4 linked regions of the Canis lupus familiaris genome follow. The protein of the gene in region 1 purifies or fractionates together with the protein of each later gene. This does not show direct contact. Links are inferred from orthologs where the notes say so. Each region holds a gene or a part of one and is shown in the gene's direction. Other genes may lie near its edges.

What was found.
Region 2: the proteins of YAF2 (region 1) and BCORL1 purify together in Homo sapiens (affinity purification with mass spectrometry; 5 studies listed by BioGRID and IntAct, counting the BioPlex papers as one, with this or other methods). This does not show direct contact. The link is inferred for Canis lupus familiaris from reciprocal best matches to the Homo sapiens genes YAF2 and BCORL1.
Region 3: the proteins of YAF2 (region 1) and L3MBTL2 purify together in Homo sapiens (affinity purification with mass spectrometry; 5 studies listed by BioGRID and IntAct, counting the BioPlex papers as one, with this or other methods). This does not show direct contact. The link is inferred for Canis lupus familiaris from reciprocal best matches to the Homo sapiens genes YAF2 and L3MBTL2.
Region 4: the proteins of YAF2 (region 1) and MGA purify together in Homo sapiens (affinity purification with mass spectrometry; 5 studies listed by BioGRID and IntAct, counting the BioPlex papers as one, with this or other methods). This does not show direct contact. The link is inferred for Canis lupus familiaris from reciprocal best matches to the Homo sapiens genes YAF2 and MGA.

Annotation. Positions count from the first base shown.
Region 1 is NC_049248.1:34,804,393-34,808,108, reverse strand, and holds part of YAF2 (YY1-associated factor 2), read left to right. Parts: intron 1-1,766; coding exon 1,767-1,919; intron 1,920-2,759; coding exon 2,760-2,997; 3' UTR 2,998-3,716. UniProt on the Homo sapiens protein: Binds to MYC and inhibits MYC-mediated transactivation. Also binds to MYCN and enhances MYCN-dependent transcriptional activation. Increases calpain 2-mediated proteolysis of YY1 in vitro.
Region 2 is NC_049260.1:102,047,370-102,052,796, forward strand, and holds the start of BCORL1 (BCL-6 corepressor-like protein 1), read left to right. Parts: upstream 1-1,818; 5' UTR 1,819-1,961; intron 1,962-2,530; exon of another isoform or gene 2,531-2,679; intron 2,680-3,233; exon of another isoform or gene 3,234-3,411; intron 3,412-4,123; exon of another isoform or gene 4,124-4,309; intron 4,310-5,427. UniProt on the Homo sapiens protein: Transcriptional corepressor. May specifically inhibit gene expression when recruited to promoter regions by sequence-specific DNA-binding proteins such as BCL6.
Region 3 is NC_049231.1:24,974,585-24,980,292, reverse strand, and holds the start of L3MBTL2 (lethal(3)malignant brain tumor-like protein 2), read left to right. Parts: upstream 1-2,247; 5' UTR 2,248-2,378; coding exon 2,379-2,402; intron 2,403-4,211; coding exon 4,212-4,455; intron 4,456-5,708. UniProt on the Homo sapiens protein: Putative Polycomb group (PcG) protein. PcG proteins maintain the transcriptionally repressive state of genes, probably via a modification of chromatin, rendering it heritably changed in its expressibility.
Region 4 is NC_049251.1:9,076,880-9,081,804, forward strand, and holds part of MGA (MAX gene-associated protein), read left to right. Parts: intron 1-711; exon of another isoform or gene 712-870; intron 871-2,253; coding exon 2,254-2,544; intron 2,545-2,724; coding exon 2,725-4,235; intron 4,236-4,925. UniProt on the Homo sapiens protein: Functions as a dual-specificity transcription factor, regulating the expression of both MAX-network and T-box family target genes. Functions as a repressor or an activator.

The DNA of each region.
Region 1 (3,716 bases):
ACTGTAGTACCTTTCCCCTTCAGACTGCTGCCGGTGCCAGTAATCTTTGTAAAATTCAATTCTTTTGTGATCTCCCGTCCTTTTTTTTTTTTCTCAATCTCCCATCTTTTAAGAGTAAGTCACACTCCTTAGCTCTTCATTATTGGATTCCTTCCCATCCATTTAGCCTTGCTTTTTTTTTTCTTCCATTCCCTTGTCACTCCCCACTCTCCATCTCAAACTTTATACAACCGTAATACCTATATATTGTACTTCTTCAAGCTTCTTTGTGAAGTATGGACTAGATCAGAGGCATCAGCTAACTGAGAAACCACTTAGAAATGCAAATTAGGCTCCACCTTAGGGCCCACTGAATTAGAAACCTTGGGAGTAGGGCTAAGCAAGCTATTAACAGGCCCTCCAGGGGATCCTGATGTACCTTAAATTTAGGAACCATTGTTTTAATCTATTCTTTAGAAAATTTATTTCCTTACCAAGCTCAGCCATTAATTACCATGCTAAATATCACTTTTATTTGTGTGACTCTTAGTCTACATCATTAACTCTGATACTTTTATCAACCCTATTTCTTAAATTATGCTGAACATCTTTCTTGGATATTCCTTCTGTACTTTAGGCTCTGTGGGCTTTAAACAAAATTCATTATCCATCTACTGAAACCTGTTTTTTATATGCTGTGTTTCCTACTTACTCCTTCAAAAGATTCCTCCTTACAGCTTTGAATTGTAGACAGTGCAGTATTTTCTCATTGGTTTCTATTTTGTCTTGTTTTAGAGGAACAGCAATATCAGAAAGATCCTTTAATAATTCTGATTGAAATAGGGTCAGGATTTTCCAGGCAATAAAATTACTGTGTTTTTTGTAGACTGTCTGTAAAAATGTATGTTTATCTTCCTCTCCCTTACTTTTTTACTTCTCTTCCTTCTCCTCCTCAGTCTTCTTTCTGTCTCTCAGTTTAAGAATTTAGAGATTGTTTACTTTGAATCTTGACCTCACTTCCCATGTTCTACCATAAAGCTGGAGGGATCCTTGACCCTGGGTCAGTGGAGTCACAGCTTTGTACTGGCACCAAAGGGTGAAGCCAAACAACATTTCAGATATCTTGGCGCAATATCTACAATAGGTTTTCAGTATTTTTTAAATGAATAAGTGAGTAAGTAGGCAAGTCTCAAAGGACTGGGCAGATTGTCAGGGTCACAAAAAGCATGGCAAGATTGTGGCTAGAGATATAAGGAACCTCAAGAAATTTTAGCAATAAAGAGTGAGAAAATTTAATACTCAAATATTTATTAAATGAATAAATGAAAGATTTTAGAGGAAAGAATAAATAGCCATTGTCACGGATGGTTAAATATTTCCTTCTATGAGAGAGAAGGGATAATGTAAACATTATTTCAGTATAAATTTTTAAGTTTAATTTTAGGATTCATGTTTGTTTATATGTGTGCTGCCCTATAAGCATTCAGTTTGATATACTTTTTTAATAATTTTCACATTGATTTATGTAATGGTTATATTTTAATGGTGTGACCATATATTTTGGGCTATAACTTTTGCTGTTATTATAGTTCTTTTTTGTTAGATAGGAAAGACAATAATTTGTGTGTGTATGTGTGTAAAATCTGTTAAATTGCATATTATCTCACATGAAGAATTTTTTTATTTGAAAATCATGTCATATATCTAAAATTTGAGCTATTTTCATAAAGAATATATATTCTTAGTTATAATAAAAAAAAAAACCTTTCTTTTTAACATGCGCACAGGAAGCCTCGACCTGTCTCCCAGTTGGTTGCCCAGCAGGTTACTCAGCAGTTTGTGCCCCCTACACAGTCAAAGAAAGAGAAAAAAGATAAAGTAGAAAAAGAAAAAAGTGAAAAGGAAACAACTAGCAAAAAGAACAGTCATAAGAAAACCAGGTAAATTTGAAGAGTGTTTTATGGCACTTGTGAAATAATAAAATGAACCATTTAACATTCTTTTTTTTACATTGATATATTCTTATACAAAGTGGAAATAAAAGATTTCAGCTCCTTTATTATAAAATATCATGTTTTTCTGAGTTTGAGAGATAGATTAGAAATTAAACACAGAGGCCACCATTATACGCTTAAATGTAAGGATGCTTTTTTTCTTTTTCTTTTTCTTTTACTTTTACTTTTACTTTTTCTTTTGCTTTTGCTTTTGCTTTTGCTTTTTGTTTTGTTTACTAGATTCAAAGACATTTGTGTTTGAGCTTATTCTTTTCCAACCATGAAGCCAAGAGTGATATTCACAGTACCGAACAGATATTTGCATGGGCTTTAAGCAGTTAAAATCTTCATGGATACAAGCAGAACAGATAATCATGATGCTTTTAACAGTGCACATCTCTGGAATAACAGCCTTACGTATAACACAGCCTTAACTGTTACCAACTTACTCTGTGATCCAACTATGTCATTGCTTTCCTAAAACATTTATCTTAGTAAAATTGATTAGCTATCTGAAAAATTATGATAAAGCTATAAAAGCACAATTAAGAGACCATTGCTTCCAGGGTATCAGTTTGTCATGTTGAAGAAGATTCATCATTGATGGGTTCGATTAACGTTAATGATTTGAAACATTTAATTATATTTTTGTGGCTAGTTATTTATGAATCTGGAGCTTTAAATATAGATGTATTCATTTTGTTATTCTTACACAATTTATGCATTATATGTTTGAAAGTTGGTAGAGAGAAGAGAGTTTAAAATTTTACCATCTTTTGTATTTAGGCCAAGATTGAAAAATGTGGATCGGAGTAGTGCTCAGCATTTGGAAGTTACCGTTGGAGATCTGACAGTCATTATTACAGACTTTAAGGAGAAAACGAAGTCACCGCCTGCATCTAGTGCTGCTTCTGCAGATCAACACAGTCAGAGTGGCTCTAGCTCTGATAATACAGAGAGGGGAATGTCCAGGTCATCTTCACCCAGAGGAGAAGCCTCATCATTGAATGGAGAATCTCATTAAAGTTTATTTTCTCCAATTTCTTAGTCACTTCTGTCATAACATGCAAATACACAGATTATGCCAAGAAGTACCACATTTTCATGACAAACATTCACGCACAATCCATAATTTGCGTTTTACACAGAATAGAAATTTGTTAGAATTTGTTAGACTTTATTGCAATCTATGCTTACCAAACATTTTCAGACTTGACATTTTGGTCTCCACAGTTCAAGGTGCCATGAAAATGTGGTTGAATTATTCATTATGCAGTGTTATTGGTAAGTCTATTTTCACTTTTAGTTTAGTGAATTCTAACACATAATTCTTGAATTCTCTACTATTGGCATGTAACGAATTTAAATTTTTATAACATAGTGCAAGCTGCCTAAATATGTATTATTTGAGAATTGTGAAACAAATAGTTATATGTATACAAGTCAAAGATCAACTTAATCAACTATTGCTGCAACAGGATTTTCTTAATGGTTATCCTCTTAAATACACCTGCTGGTACTTGGTGTGGTTAAATAGGAAAAATTGTTATTAAATAAAGAATTTGTATGAACCGTTGCCAATGTTTTTGACACATTTTACTAAATTATTGTTCCTGAATTATGTTTCTGGTTTTATCTTTGTTTTTGTTTATCTTTTAAAACGTTCATTATTGTAATGTTTACTAGCAGAGTAGTAAACAATAAAACATTGATTATTTAGCTTTATAATTCAGGTTTAGTGCT
Region 2 (5,427 bases), on another chromosome or scaffold:
GAATTAAAATCAGCAAAGACAGCTAATTTAAATCAAAGCAGAATCGGTGGGGCCTGCATTATTAGGCCCAATAGAGGTGATCCCTCCGACCTTAATAATACCTTTAGAATTTGTATGTTGATTAGTTTAAAGGAATCTTTTTCAAATTTTCACTTTCCCTTGGTGCAACTTAGGTCAAACATTTTTTAAAGTGTGTGTGTGTTGGGGGCGGAGTATGTACAGGAGGGTGGGAATGACCAAGTAAGACAGCTAGGGAAGAAGTTCCCAAAGCAAGCAAAATGGCAAGTGATATGTTCACGTTGCTGGCAGTACATTTTGAGGCTGTTGAGGACAATCCAGAGGGGTCACAGAACACCAGGCCTTAGACAACAGAAAAGCCACTGCTACCTTTGTGGCTTACCCTCCTCCACAATACTCCTCCTTTAAACCAGGTGAGGGAGACATAACCGGCAAGTCTCACCTGCCATCTCTAAAGTCCTTTCAACAGAAAGAAGACACCCCATAGCTTAGAGATGGAACCTCTGTGGGCCTGGGACAAAAGAGGGGGGCAGGGAGGAGGAGGAGGAGGAAGACATTAATCCATCAGGGCTTCCTTCTAGTCCAAATGACCCTCTGGCTTCCTTAGTATAGATAAATATATAATAAATAATATCAATATATCTGCACATAAAGATTTTTTTTTCAAATTCCTGCTATTCATTTTGCATTCCGTGTTTACAAAGCCCTGAACCCTCCAGGAACTGCTGGGCACCTCCCCGAATACCCTCTATGCTGAGGCGATGCCTTTGAAGTCCCAACCACGGGTTCAGGGTTGGAGCTGCTAAGAAACACCCTAATACTGAAAGCAAGTCTGCCGTTAGCTTCAGCTCCTTCGCAAGCTACTCTCCTCCTCGGAGTTAATGTAAAGCCATCAGAGTTCCAATGTGGACCGCAGGCTTTTCAGCTCTTCAGTCCTGGGGTTGGCAGGATGGCCTGGGATGTAAACACATATGAGGATTTATTCCTTTGGCCAGGCGGGGAGTCATTAGAGTAAAGGGTAAGGGTCAAGGGGGCTCGGTTTGGTGACTGAGGAACCTGGGAGGGTGGGGGGGGGGGAGCGGGCAGAAGCCAAGAGTTTTCCTCGAGCCAGGTTTTCGGCCCCAAGTCGTTCAGGCTTCCCCATTTACAGACCTTTCATCCCCCTCCTCCTCCCTCCTCCCTCCTCCCTCCTCCCTCGGGCCTCTCGCTCCAGGCACCCCCTCCCCAAAGGTGCCTCCACGCTCGGGCCAGGGGCTATCCTTTGAAAGCAGCCCAGAGGGTTTGCAGCACCGAAGGTTGCCACGAAGGGTGGGCCGCTCGGGAGACGCGAGGCAAGGCAGCGAGCCCCGGCATTTCCCCTTCCCCGGCACCTGTCCCACTTCGGCGCCGGGGCTGGGGCTGCGCCCGCGGGCGGCCTCGGTGCACGAGCGCCAGAGCCTTGCACCGAGGTCGCCCGGGTTAGGGAAGTGGGGGGCCGGGGAAGGGGCGGGGCGTCCGGCGGGCGCGCGCCGCCCCTTGCATGCAAGACCCCACGCCCCCCCATATACGGAGGCTAAACGGAGATAGAGAGTCACACATAAAGCACGAGCGAAAACGCTCGCTCTCCGACCCCGAGCGGCGTTGCTCTCCGCCCCCCCCTTCCTGGAGCTGGGGGCTGGCCGGGGAAGGTGGCTCCGTTCTTCCCTCGTGGCCAGTGCGGGGTCTGTGGCTGCCCGGAGAGGTTCCGGCTTCCCCGGGGCTGGCAGGGGGAGCCCCGAGAACTGCAGGCCCGCCCCCCCTTCCTCCTCCTCCTCCTTCCCCTCCTCCCCCACGTGTCCTCCCGGAGCCCAGAGGCCTGATCCCAGCACCCCCCCGCCACCTCCCTCCTCCTCTCGCTTCGCCCGCTTCCCCGGCGGCGTGGAGAAGAGCAAAGTTGCGACAGCGGCCGGGGGGGCTCTGCCCAGGTGAAGGGGCGCCGTGGGGGGTGGGGGATGGCGCGGCCCTGCGGCGGGGGCGGAGGGAAGATAAAGAAACTTGCTTTCCGCGGCCCCCACCCCGCGCGGGTTCAGATCTTGCGTGGACCGAGCCCTCGTGGCGAGACGCGGCAACGCCGCTGGGACCGAGGCCGGCACCGGGAGCCAGACCCGGACCGCGCGCCTGGGCCGGCTCGGCGGGCGCAGGCAGCGGGCCAGGCCGGCACCCAGGCAAGGGCGGGGTGGGTGGCCGTACACTGGACCGAACCAGAGACTCCAGTGGCCTGGGCGCGGGCCGAACCCGGACCGGGCCGAGTTGGGTGGCGAAGTAGGACGTGGATTCGGGGGCGGGGCGCGGCGGGAGGGGGAAACCAGGCCCCGCCGGACTGGCCTGGGCGTGGGGGCGGGGGGCGAGTTCGGGGCACTTGCTGGGCTGGGGACCGAGCGGTAGGGCGGGGCGGCGCTAGGGGCTGGGCCGGACCCGCGGGGAGAGGGCGAAGGGGGGAGCCGGGGGTGGAGTAGGGGCGTGGAGTTGCGAGCGGGGTCTGGCCTCGGCCGGGGGCGAAGGTAGATCCGCGGGGCCGACAGCGGAGGGAGGGAGGCCCGCAGCGGCGCGGCGGCGGCGAAGGCCAGCTTCCGCGGAGTTTGTGCCCGGGCTTCCCGGGCTCCGGCCGCCTCACGCGCACAAATGGGGCTAGGGGACTGACTGGTAAGCAACTACGAGTGTTAGACGGTGTTTGGCGGCGATTCAGGGAAAAGCAAGGAAAGACACCGTCTGCATTTATGCCGCACCCCCCACCCACCTCCTAGCATCTGGATTTTGCTCTCAGGGGGCCGCGGACCCTCCTTACCACAACCCTTTCACTCTCCTGCACTCCCACCGGCTCCCCCCACTTCCTAGGCCATCTGACTCCCCTAGGGGTGTGTGTTTGAGGGTGGACGACGGCGTGGCGGGGGCGGCAGTATACTCTCCCTCCCGCGGCAGCAGCCTAGTTCGTATCTTATTCCTATATGTAGCGTCGCTTCGAGTCGTGTGGACATTTGGGTTAAGATAACGTACCCCCTTTTCCCCCTCAAGCGATTTGATGGCTTCTAAGGAAAGGGAGGAATCCCTGGGTTTCCACGCCTACAGCGAGGTTTGAGGATTGAGATTCACCCCCAGCTCACTTCCACTACCAACCCCACTTTCCTTGTAAGCCTTTTCCCCGGGGATCTGAACTTTGGGGGGGGGGCGGTATTAATGTGCTTCTCTTCTCTACACAGGGTCGGCGTGGCCAAGGACGGCTAGTCTCTGAGAGAAAGTAGCCACCAATCCAACTTGGGTCGCCCCCACTATTACTTCGGTGAGGGGGGCAACGCTAAGGAGATACTGGTGGGTAGCGACCCAGTATAAAGGAGGGGGCTGGGTAGTCGCCCCCGGAGGGACTCCGTTTCTTGTGAGGTAGGAAGAAGCGAGCCCAGGCTTCAGGGGAGGGTTCTGGAGAGGGGCATGGGGGGTGGCGACGACCGGGGCGGGGAAGAAGGGGGAGTCACGCCCTGCCAGCAAGGGGGCTTCCCTCAGGTCCCTGGGAGAAGGGGACTGAATGTCTGTTTTGTGCTGCCCGACAGGGGAGATCTGGGGTCTCTGGATTTGCACATTGGATCGGGCACCAGTGGCCTGAGAAAGTCAGGTCGGGGCATATGGTGGAGAGCCTTGGGGGGAAAGAAACAGAAACCCCTGGCCTTAGCGCCCTGATCTTTTCCTTTCCTCAATCTTCTCATTCGAGGGGCATTGAGGGCTGGGGGCGTGGGGCTCTTGCAGCCCCTAGGATTGAGCGCCTCCGCCTCTCCTGGGAGTCTAGCTTTTTGCCCGGCTTGCTGCAGCCACTGCTGCTGCCTCCCTCTCCGGAATCCGCTTGGTCCTCGCAGCGATCCCCTCCTCCTCCCCTCCCCTCCCAGTGTCACCGGGGCTGCTTGGCTCTGCCCCCTTCGCCGCCGCTTGCTCCCTGCTTTCGTCCCTCCCTCTCTCGCTCGCTCCCTCCCTTCGCCTCCACCTCCCCATTCCTCCCCCCCGACAGGTGGCATTCTGGGAGTTGTAGTCCCGTGGAGCGGCGGCTGGCGCCGCCCGCGAACCCCGCCGGACTCCACTTCCCGTCGAGCCCTGCGACCGGCACCCACTCCACCAGGCTTCGCTCGCACACACAGACACACACACACACCGCTCTCCCCCTCACTCTTTCGCTTGCCGCGGCTGCTGCCAGTGTGTGGCTCTGTCTCTCCTCCGCTTTGCCGAGCCCTCCCTTCTTCCTCTCAGTTCCTAGAGTCCGACCGCCGCCGCCGCCGAGAGAGAGGAGAAGGAGGTCGGTGGCGATAAGGGGCGGAAGGGGGGCATCAGATCGGGGCAGTATTAGGCGGGTGGAGGCTCAGAGTGGGTGAGAGGGAGCCCGGGTGGCGGCCTGAGCCTCCCCGCGGAGCCGACCCGGGAACAGGTGCGTCTTTTTTTTCTCTCCCCCAATCCCTCCACCCCTTTTGACTCCCCGGCTTTTTCGTATCCCCCCACCCGCTTCTTTCTATCTTAAGCCTTTCCTCAACCCTGTCCCTTCTTCGCCCCGCGGCCGCTCCGCTTGCCCCCCGGGGGCGCCGTCCTCTTCGTGTCCCCGGACGTAGCGCTCCCTGGAGCTCGCTCTGCCCTCGCCCCTCCCTTCGGGACAGCTCCCCTCCACTTCCACCTTCGTACCCCGTCCCTGCCCTACCCTACCCCCTCCTCACCCCCTTCTCCCTTAGCCAGGTGAGACTTGTTCGCCACGATCTGAGAGTCTTCTTCCTGGCTGGGCGGGGGTCTCCATGGAAACGGGGGTCGGGTTGATCCTGGGGGGGAACCATTGGAATTACCCCACTCCTCAGAAAGGGAGGTGGAGGCTACGGTCTTGTTAACTACCTGGCCCTAACAGCACCCCCCCACCTCGCCATCCAAGGATCCAGTGATCCGAAGGGAGGCTGGCCAGGAGGGCAGGGCGAGAAAGGGCTTGTTTTTTTGGGGGGGCGGCTGTCCGTGATGAAGTCTTGAAGAGACCTGGAGAAAATACCCTCCAACCTCTGAGGGGAGGTGCGACGGTTGCTCTTCAGGGCTGCTTTCTCCTCAGTGTTGGGGTGCGGAAACCATAGGGTAAGGGGTACCCCTAGGTGGCGGCGGGGCCTGGGTTCGGGAGTGGGAGTGCTGTGATGGGGGCAGGGGCAATTATCCGAGTCCCTGGAAAAAAGGCGGGGGATGACTTCGGAGCACCCTGGCTCCGCTGCCCTCGCTGTAGGGGCGGGGGCCGCCGGGCCGGGCGCGGCGGGGAGGGGGCTTAAATTGAAGGAGGATGAGATGGGGGCAATTCATACTAGCCCCGGCAAGCCAGGGGGAGATTCGGCGTTCAAGCTCTCCACCCGCTCCGCGCCAGGCCTGAGGCAAGGGGTCTGAGAGCGAAGCCGAGGG
Region 3 (5,708 bases), on another chromosome or scaffold:
TGAGGCAACCCTGTTATTTCTACTGTACAAAGTAAAACCTACACTCTTTATCATGCTTGATGTTGAGTCTTGTTTATTCCATATTCCATTTGGAATAATGAAAATTTTCAAGTTGAATGAAAGTAACAATCCAGTTTACTTGATGAAGAAGGTGAAGCCCGGAGAAGGAAAGCCCAAGTCTCCTCATGAAGGTACTGGGCCTAGAACCCTGCTGGTGGTAAAACAAAACAGTTCACACACACACAAAGCAAAAACAAAAAAAACAAAAAACGAAAAACCCACAAACAGTTCACAAGAGTCAGAGGAGCAAGCTACCTAATCCAGCACTCTGACTTTAAGAAGGTTGGAATCCTTAGACTTATTATCTATCTCTTTAGCACCTAGTAGATGCTAGGCTCTGTTCTTGGCTCGGGAAAAAGAGTAGAGAACAAGACAAAGTCCCTGCCCTTATGGGGCTTACATTCCAGTGGTGCGAGATAGACAATAAAGAAATAGACAAGTGAAGAAGATAATTTCAGACAGGAACAAGTATTATAAAGAACTGTAAATTGGGTGAAGGGATACTGAGTGAGGGGAAAGAAAAGCTATTCTAAATAAAGTTCTGAGGAGGTGACTTTGAACTGAAATTTGAGAAATGAAGAACCATCTCTGAGAAAAGCCACAGAAAGAATGCCCCACAAAGAGCATCAAGTGCAAAGGCGTTGAGGCAAACTCAAGCTTCGCAGTCAAGAAGTGAGTGGATGGATGCAGTGAGAGGTGGAGAGGGTAGCACAGAAGCAGGGTTTGTTCTTTTTTTTCTTTCTTTTTTTTTTTTCTTTTTTTTTCTAATATTTTATTTATTCATGAGATACACGAGAGGCAGAGACACAGGCAGAGGGAGAAGCAGGCTCATTGCGGGGAGCCTGATACAGGACTGCATCCCAAGACCCATGGTATCATGACCTGAGCCAAAGGCAGACACTCAACCACTGAGTCACCCAGGTGCCCAGTACAGCAGCTGGTTGAAGAGAAAACTGGGGCCAGGTCATTCAGGGGCTTATGGAATGTTTGAATTTTTTTGAAAGTGCAGGGGGAAGCTAATGGAGGTTTTAAGCAAGGGGATGAACATGATCTGGCTTATGATTTAAAAGATCACCTGTATTAAAGAAAGTGAAAAGTCAAACAGGGACCTGTTTGAGGCCTATTGTGCTGGACTGGTGGCTTCCATGAGGGTGATAGTGGAGGAGGAATTCAGGATACATTTTGGCTGTAGAACCAACAATACTGGTTGATAGCATGAATATGGGGTTGGTGGCAGAAGGAGTTAAAGAAAAGAAAAATCAAAGACTTTCACATCTATGTGGTGGACCTCAAATTTAGAAATATTTTTAACATATATTCAGCCTCCATTTATTACATTTAGATTCTTTTTTTTTCTTTTGTCTATTTTTTTTCAGTTTATTTTTTAAAAATCTCTACACTCAGTGGAGCTCCAACCAATGATCCTAAGATCAAGTGCCTCAAGATCCTCTGACTGCGCCAGTCAGGCGCCCCTACATTTAGATTCTTTTTTTTTTTTTTTTTTTTTTTTTTTTACATTTAGATTCCTAATTCATTAGAGCACCGCATAGCACAGGGAAAGAACCTGGACTAAACCTTAAATTCCAATTCTTAGGTTCCAATTCCAACCTTAAATCCCAATTCCAAAGAGCCACAGATTCATCTTTAATAGGGTGATGGGCTGTCTCCAGATTTGAGCTGTTGTGTAAAAAGCTCCACCAGAGCACCTAGAACTGAGTGTTCAAGGAGGTTGTGAGACATCCAAAATGAGGGAGGCAGAGTGCCTCATACTCGAGGTTTTATTCAGGGGATGATGATGGAGGGACAATGTTACAGGATTTGGAGCATGTGAGGCATTTATAGCACTGGGCATAAGAGCAATCCGCTTTCTGCCGGAATTGGAAATGCGTTTCTTTGCAAGTCGTCCTGGCCCAAGGGCACCTTAAAATTCTTCTAATCTGTCATTCCTGGTGCCTAGAACAGCACCTATCGTACGTGCTCAAGAATTGTTTGCTAAAGAACGGAGTAGGGCTGAGAGGTGGAGGTTAGCGCAGAGAAACGAGGTCTGCCGCAGTGCCGCAGGGATTTTCACATCGCTATAGCAACGCACCCTTCCACGCGCACCCACAGGGGAACTACAAGTCCCACAAGTACCCGCGGCTTCCCCGCCCCCCCCGGGGCTGGGGCGCGGGCGAGCGCGGAACCGGCTTTTCCTTTTTCCTGCAACGTGATTGGCCCGCGGCTCTGGGAGGCGGCCAATGACTGCGCTCAGGAAGAGCCGCGAGGCCAATATGGCTTCCTGCACCTGGTGACGGTTGAAGAAACGGGTGTTAGGTCTCATGGAGAAGACGCGGGGCGTCGAGGTGAGAGGGGGAGGATTTATCGTGACCGGGAAAGGGAAGCCCTTGAGCCTCGCACGGGGGGCCGTTCTCGAGGCCTTGGGGCGACGCCTGGAGGGTGGAGAGTGGAAGGATGGATAAACTGAGGTAGTTAGGCTGAGCAGGGCCAGAGGCGATTGGCGTTGCCTTTTGCGCCCACACCGCTGGGGCCGACGTCCCGCGAGTAGGTCGGGGCGGAACAGCCTCCCTGGCCTGCGGGAACGGGAACTGGGTTCAGGATCTGGGAGCTCCTGGATCTTCTTTGTCCTCCCTCTCTCTGGTCGTTTCTTTGGGGATCAGGAGGCCTGTGACATCCTGGTGGGACGTGAGGGAGATTCAAGTTTCCTGCCACTGCGTGTCTGGAGCGTTCACGGGCATTATCGCCCGGGATACTCACAACAATCCTGTGTCACTGTTTCGTTGTTATGGTTGGAGTAGCCGACGCTTACAGCCAGATGGTGCCCCCCAGGAGGGCCACCCAACCGCAGCGGGAAGGAGATGGGCACCCAGTCGTTCAGGCTCCCCAGCCTTTCCCACTCTCCTGCAACCTGTAACCCACTCACCCCTGGGTCACTTGGCTTCTGGTCACCTTGTATTTAAATTCGGTCTCTTCTTTAGCACATTTGGGGACGTAGTTGTAAACCTGAAAATGGAATAGCCCCCAAACTGTAAAGGGTAAAGGAGAATAAGCACTCACGCGTTTACAGCCCTCCCTAATGGCTAGAAACAACTAGGCTTTACACATCTCAGTCTTCATTCGAGTTATCTGAAGAAGGCCTGCTGTTACCTCTCTTGTACTGATGAAGAAACTGAAGAAACAGGCTCAGTATGTTGCACAAAATCACAATTGAGTGGTAGAGCCAGGATTCAGGCAAATCTGGTTGAAAAGCCCCATGCTTTTACCCAGAAATAATTGCCAGTATGTCTTGAATACTTGCAAGGCACTGTTTTGAGTACAACACTTATATTCACTCTTATTTCTCCCGCAAAGCTTCTGAAGGAGGTAGTTTCCTCATTTACAGAGGTGGGAACTGATGCACCAAGAGACTGACTTGCTGCAGATCATACAGCTGGTCAGCGGTAGAGATGGTATTTGAGCCCTGGCCTAGGACCTTTTCTACTACATTCCTTCCAGGTGGATTGATAGACAGTATCTCATTTACATTTCACATCCTGTGAGCTACTTATTTCACAGATCAAAAAGTTGAGGCCCAGAGGAGTTAAATGACTTGCCCAAAGACCCACAGCTAGTTAGGATTGGAGCAGAGTCCAGAGCTATGGTACATACATACACTGTGCGATAACTAGTGTGTCCTCTGTCTCCTAGATCCTCCTCAGGGTAGGATCCGCGTCCCAAATTGACTTTTCTGTGGCTGAAATGGTTTCCGAATTGACACTGTGTTGATGTACATATGCTGAAGGGGGGAAGTTGATTTTCTAACATACATCTTCCCCCAGAAAGTCTTCATGAGATAACAGAGTATTTTCACATCATCGTATTCTATTTGAATCAAGTTAAAACATCATCATTTATAAATACACAGGAGGAGCTTGGTGAATTCCTGATATTACCTGTTTTGTTAAACTATCCTGATGAGTTTCAGTTAAGAACTATATAAACAGGAGTAATGATCCTGGTGTTTGCAAAAGGGATATTTGATTCTGCCTGCCACTTGGTCCAAAGGTGTTGACCAAGACCTGGAAAAGATGCTGGTAGCTGACCTGCATCCTTCTTCCCCATACACTAAGCTAGACCTGATTCCTCCAGCCTGGTTTGTGTCATCCTTCCACTAGGAGACTCCATCTTCAGAACCTATGGAAGAGGAAGAGGAAGAGGAGGACGACTTGGAGCTCTTTGGTGGCTATGACAGTTTCCGGAGCTATAACAGCAGTGCGGGCAGTGAGAGCAGCTCCTATCTAGAGGAGTCAAGTGAAGCAGAAAATGAAGATCGGGAAGCAGGGGAGCTGCCCACCTCCCCGCTGCATTTGCTCAGTCCTGGGACTCCCCGCTCCTTGGATGGCAGTGGTTCTGAGCCAGGTGCTTTCAGAGTGTCCCCTGAAGACGGGGAGGTTTCAGGAGGCTATAGAGGAAGAGGGGAATATAGGCCATGTGGGCAGAGCCATCCAGGTGTAAAAAAAGCTGTTTGATCTTAAGTCTAAGGGCCTATGAACTAGACAGAAGTAGCCCCAAGGGACTACTACTAATTTCCTTTGCTGCAGTCTGATTTCAAATGACTATTTCCTTTGTTCTTTCATACGACTAATACTTATTTGGCACACGTTAGATGCCAGTCATTAATATGGTACTGCTTTTACATTTGTGTGAATAGGTGCTTGATTTTTAAGCCTGGATGGCTTTTGTTTTGTTTTCTTTTTTATTTATTCATGAAAGACAGAGGCAGAGAGAGAAGCAGGCTCCATGCAGGGAGCCCAACATGGGACTCGATCCCGGGTCTCCAGAATCACACCCCGGCCTGCAGGCGGCGCTAAACCGCTGTGCCACCAGGGCTGCCCTTAAGCCTATGCTCTGATTTACTATCTGGGAAAGGACAAGAAATAGTTTGTGGGTTGGACGTGAGGGGGGAAATTAAAGAAGGGTGGAAATTAAAGAATCAAGTGACTTCCTGGGGAAAGAATTACTGATGAGACTCCTCATGGAGCATCTGGAAGCCAGTTAACTTCGGAGCTGTGCTGTTTGGACAGCTTCTGGATGGATTCCTGTGTCAGGGCCCCCAGTGTGTGGACTGCCTGTGAAGAGAGATGGGCTAGATGTCCGTAAGGAACAGACCCTGTTCCTTAGTGCCTGCACTCTTTAGAAGAGTGATCTAATACTCTGCCACTTTTCCTTTCCATCTACTTGTCTTCTCTTCCTCCTTCCCCCACACCACCCTTTTAATCTTCTATCTTCTTCCAAACATTCTCGTAGAATCTTAGAACTTTGGAACTAGAACCATTAGAGACCGTTGAGTCCAGGGGTTCTCTCTCGTGGCTGTCCATTAGGATCACCAGTAAATTAGACTCTCAGGCTTGGATATTTTTTAAGCTACTTAGGTGATTCTAATACAATGTTAGAATTGAAACGTTGATCTAGTTCAGTTTTTTTATAGATGAGAAGAAAAGAGATCCACAGAAGTCAGGTGATGTGGGCACTGTTTTTCTTCTTGTTTTCCTCTTTACAGACTTTCCAACATCCACCTGTTGCTCTATGGATTTTCCTTACCTCTACTGTTAACATATAGCCAAGGGATGCCAGGCAGCTTATCTTAGGCAAAAGAGATTCAGTTGTGCACA
Region 4 (4,925 bases), on another chromosome or scaffold:
GAAGGTTTTTTGAAAGGATAAATGAATCACGGTATTAAATTGGTTGTCTTCTTCTTCCCATATGTAAACATATAAGAAATGGTTAGTTTAAGATGTAATTTCAGAAATAAGATTGTTTGAAGCTGTTTCGAGTTCCTGTTGAATCCCAAGGTTTATATCTTGTCATATTTTAACAGATGTTCTAAATGTTACGGATTCTATCCTTTTTAATTCTATCTTGAAACTATAAAGTAGTTTAGCTTTTTATAGTTCACTGGTTCTCAGATTTCAGTCCCTCAATTTACATTCAGGTATTTTGCTCTGATTCTCATTTGTATTATTATTGACTCAATATTTTTATTTAAGTCAACTCCTTTGTTTCCTTAAATGTATTTTTAAAAGGAGCAATTTTACTGTAATTGGAAACCAACATTATTTGAGTAACAGAGGTTCACTCCATAAATACACTAGAAACAATAATAGTAAGAAATATATTTTAGCTAGCTACCATATGTTAACATGTGGCTTGCACTCTGTTAATGAAGAAAGCTAGAAAATGCTGATACGATATCAAAGACTAGTATTTTCTTCTGTATACAATCAGAAGATTCAAATTGAGAAAGAAAATACTTTCTGACAATGTGATATGGTGGTATTCTTATTCTGTATCCATCTAAGAATATTTTCCATAATACCACTTGAGGAACTATTAATGTTAACAAATTTTCTTACCTGCTTTTTAAAAGTGGAGCTGACTCTGGTAACTTCTATTTCTAGGTATGTGTAATTTTGTTCTAGGTTTATAAAGAGGATCTCAACTTGGGCACTTAGACATCTGTGACTTTTTCATTTAACTTCCCTTCTTTTTCTCTTTTCCGTTCTTCCCCTTACCTGCATGTGAATAAATAATCACATATTTAGTGTATGTGCTAAAGGCTGCTTTCATTCTCTGAATTAGAGTACTTTGGAATTGAATCACTCTCTAAAATGTTTTTTGAATAGAAATGTTCAGGAAATTAAGAATGTTTTAACGTGTTTTTTAATTCACATAAGATAAATGTTTTTTGTTTAAATTGCATACTCCTCCCCGCCCTGCCCCACCCTGCCCTGCCCTGAACAGTTTGGTCTTTGCATTTTATTTTTAAGAATAGTTTTGGATCTTATATATAATTTGTCATGTAAACGTTAGGAGCATAACTTCCTTTTACAAGTTTGATATTTTTGTGGGTAGAGTGCTTACCTGATACATTTTGTGGGTATGAGTTCTTATCTAATAGAATGTCACGTGTTAAACTGATTTGGTTGGTTGTTTGATTTTTCTATTTAGTGACAAACTAATAAAAATGTTTAATAATATTAACTAAGTTCACTAATTTGAATGTTAATGTTAGTTTCCTTTTTGCTTGCTATTATCGCTACTCCTTTTTATCCCCATGGCCAAAATCTGTAGACTACTCATAATCTTTTTTTCTGTGTCTTCAGTATTTCTAAATATCTCTTCCAAACATTAAAGTGGGTCTTTAGATGCTATTAATGGTTTGAAATTTTTTTAAATTCACATCTTCTGCATTAAATTTTTGCTTTTTCTGTTTGTTTTAAAACTATCTTTTGCCTCTTCCTAACCAGGCTTTATTTCCCTGCTTCTTTGATGTCTCTTAATTTCATTCCATTTTTTGGGGGTATGTATTTTTTTTTTCCTTCTGAAAAATAATTTCCACAGATCTTTATGCTTTATTTGTCAGTGAATTTTAAAAGCCAAGGAATTTTTTTATGCCTCATGACTTTTAGTCCTTGACTTTATCTTACTTGAGTATGACCTGTGAAATGAAGTCATAATTCTAGTAAGTGTTAACAACCTGAATTACAAGGTTGAAGAAGAGAATTTTATAAAGAATGACCTGTTTAATTTTAATGAGAATCCAGATTTAAAGACCTGCTGTGTTTTTCATTAGGCAGAGGCATTGTTTCTTTAAATGCACCTCTTGACAATTGATGCACGAGCTCTCTCTGTCTCTCTCTTCCTTTTTTTTTTTTTTTAAACCATTCTGAATGTAAGGACCTACAATGTCTGGTTGATAATTGGTTTTAAGATAAATTGTTCTCAGCCATAGGACTATTAAGTAATGTATGATAGAGATGTAGGATTTCACCAACTATATAAATCAAATTAGAAGTTATCTGTAATGTGGTCAAATCCTATGTCATAATAATTTTTTCCTACATGTATTAAAGGGGAAATTCTCTGATACTATGTTTCCATTTCCTGTTTTTCAGAAAATGCCCCTCAGATTCCAGTGGCTACTCCCCAGGTCTCTCCTAACACAGTGAAACGTACTGGACCTCGATTGTTACTGATTCCAGTGCAGCAAGGTTCTCCTACTCTTAGACCTGTCCCAAACACACAACTTCAGGGGCATCGGATGGTCTTGCAGCCTGTTAGGAGCCCAAGTGGAATGAATCTATTCAGGCATCCTAATGGGCAGATTGTTCAGCTACTCCCTTTGCATCAGCTTCGAGGCTCTAATACCCAGCCCAACTTACAGCCTGTCATGTTTCGGAACCCAGGTATAAAATTGGAGATCTTTCTGATGAATTTTTCTTTTGTTGAATCATTTGGCCATATGGCTTGTTAATACACCAGGATTTCTTAGTCTCTTTGAGTTAACCAGTCCAAAAAGAAAAGCATATGCTTGGGAATCTTGATATGGAGTGGTAATAATTCAAAAAAATTTTTTTTCTTACCAGGCTCTGTGATGGGAATCCGGTTACCCACTCCTTCCAAACCTTCAGAGACTCCACCATCTTCTGCTTCATCCTCTGCTTTCTCTGTTATGAATCCTGTAATTCAAGCTGTTGGGTCTTCTCCAGCAGTGAATGTTATCACTCAGGCACCATCATTGCTTTCTTCTGGACCTAGTTTTGTGTCTCAGTCTGGTACATTGACCCTGAGGATTTCCCCTCCTGAACCACAAAGCTTTGCAAGTAAAGCAGGCTCTGAAACCAAAATAACCTATAGCTCAGGAGGGCAGCCTGTTGGTACAGCCAGTCTTATTCCTCTCCAGTCTGGTAGTTTTGCTTTGTTGCAGCTCCCTGGACAAAAGCCTGTTCCCAGTTCCATTCTTCAACATGTTGCTTCTCTTCAGATGAAGAGAGAGTCCCAGAGTGCAGACCAGAAAGATGAAACAAGCTTTTTGAAAAGAGAGCAGCAGGACACTAAGAAGACTCTACAGTCAGAAGGAGAAGCTATAGATTCTGAAGCTAATATAATAAAGCAAAACTCAGGAGCTGCTGCCTCAGAAGAAATCCTACATGATTCCTTGGGAGATGGGGGTGATCATTTAGATGAAGAATCCCTTACAGAAGAGGGTCCTATAACTGTTAAACCTTCTCAGCCCTCCTGTATCACTGCTTCACACATAGTAGGTGAAGACTATAAAGATGATGAAGAGTATGGGGTTAGAAATGAAAATAGTTCCAAAGAAAAGCGGACTCTCCTAGAAGTTAAGACTATTTCCAAAAAAGCCAGCAATGTGACAGTCCAAAGTGTAAATAGTGTACAGCTTAAAAAGCTTGGTGATGTAAAAGTGGAACAGCAGAAAGGATTAGAAAATCCAGAGAAAAAATCGAATGAATTTCCAATCATCTCTAAGGAAGACAGTAAAATTGAATTATCAGGCAACAAAGTTGTGGAGCAGCAATCTATTCCACAGCCAGAGGGCAAGGAGAAGGGATGTGGAGACTCTCTGGAAAAGGACGATATTAGGGAGAGATGGAGAAAACACCCAAAGGGCCCTCTGACCCAGAAATGTGTTGGAACTTCACAAGAATGCAAGAAAGAGGCAGATGAGCAGTTAATTAAAGAAATAAAGACTTGTCAGGAAAATTCTGATATGTTTCAACAAGAAGGCATTCCTGATCTACTTGGAAAAAGTGGAACTACTGAAAATGTCAGAGTTTTAAAAACTGAATGTGATTCTTGGAGTAGGATTTCTAGTCCTACAGCCTTCTCCATTGTTCCGAGGAGAGCTACAAAAGGGAGCAGAGGGGAAGGACATTTTCAAGGTCACTTACTGCTGTCAGAACAGATACAACCAAAGCAAGAGACGAAGGGTGGGCGAAGCAGTGCTGACTTGACTCTTTTGGATTTGGAAGATGAGGACGAGGAAGATGAGAATGAGAAAACCGATGATTCTATTGATGAGATTGTGGATGTTGTTTCTGACTACCAGAGTGAGGAGGTTGATGATGTAGAAAAGGTGGTGAGCCCATTTTTGTTGTGACTGAAACCTCAAGAATTTAAATGATTTATTAGAGACCTTAGCTTTTCCAGAAGATCACTAAGACCTGAATTGGATGCCTAGGTTTAGATCATTATTAAATGACTGTAGTTTTTAAGGCTGTGTCAGTCAGGTAACATTTATTGAGCTTATATTCTTTGACAGTTGCCTGCTATTATGGGAAGGCTGGCTTATGCTTTTGGGGGATAGATGCTTGATAGTCCCTTTCAAGTTAGGTTTAAAAAAAGAATCCTGAAAGTCCTATTCCCATTTGCTCTCATTTAGTTGTTTGTTTTTTGTTTTGACATTTTCTGTGTGAAGTGATTATAGCCTATTTGGTAGATGTATAAAAAATAGGGATTGGGTGACCTTAGAACTAGAAGAGGACATAACTACCTACATTTAGAGAGATGTTTCTCTTTTTGGAGAAAAATGGAAAATACCATTTAATATTTTAAAATCACCCTGCCTTAAGTTGCTTTTTAATTACCTTCTAAAATTAAATAGTTTCTAGAGTTTATATTCAGAACTTTGGTCATCTTCCTTTGTGAATGACCCTTTGTAAGTTTTACAGATTTTTTTTTCCTGAAGCCATTTTTGTAGCCTTCCTGTTTAAGGTTATAACCTTATTTAAGTGAGAAACAGATAAGATACTGGGCAGGAGTTGGA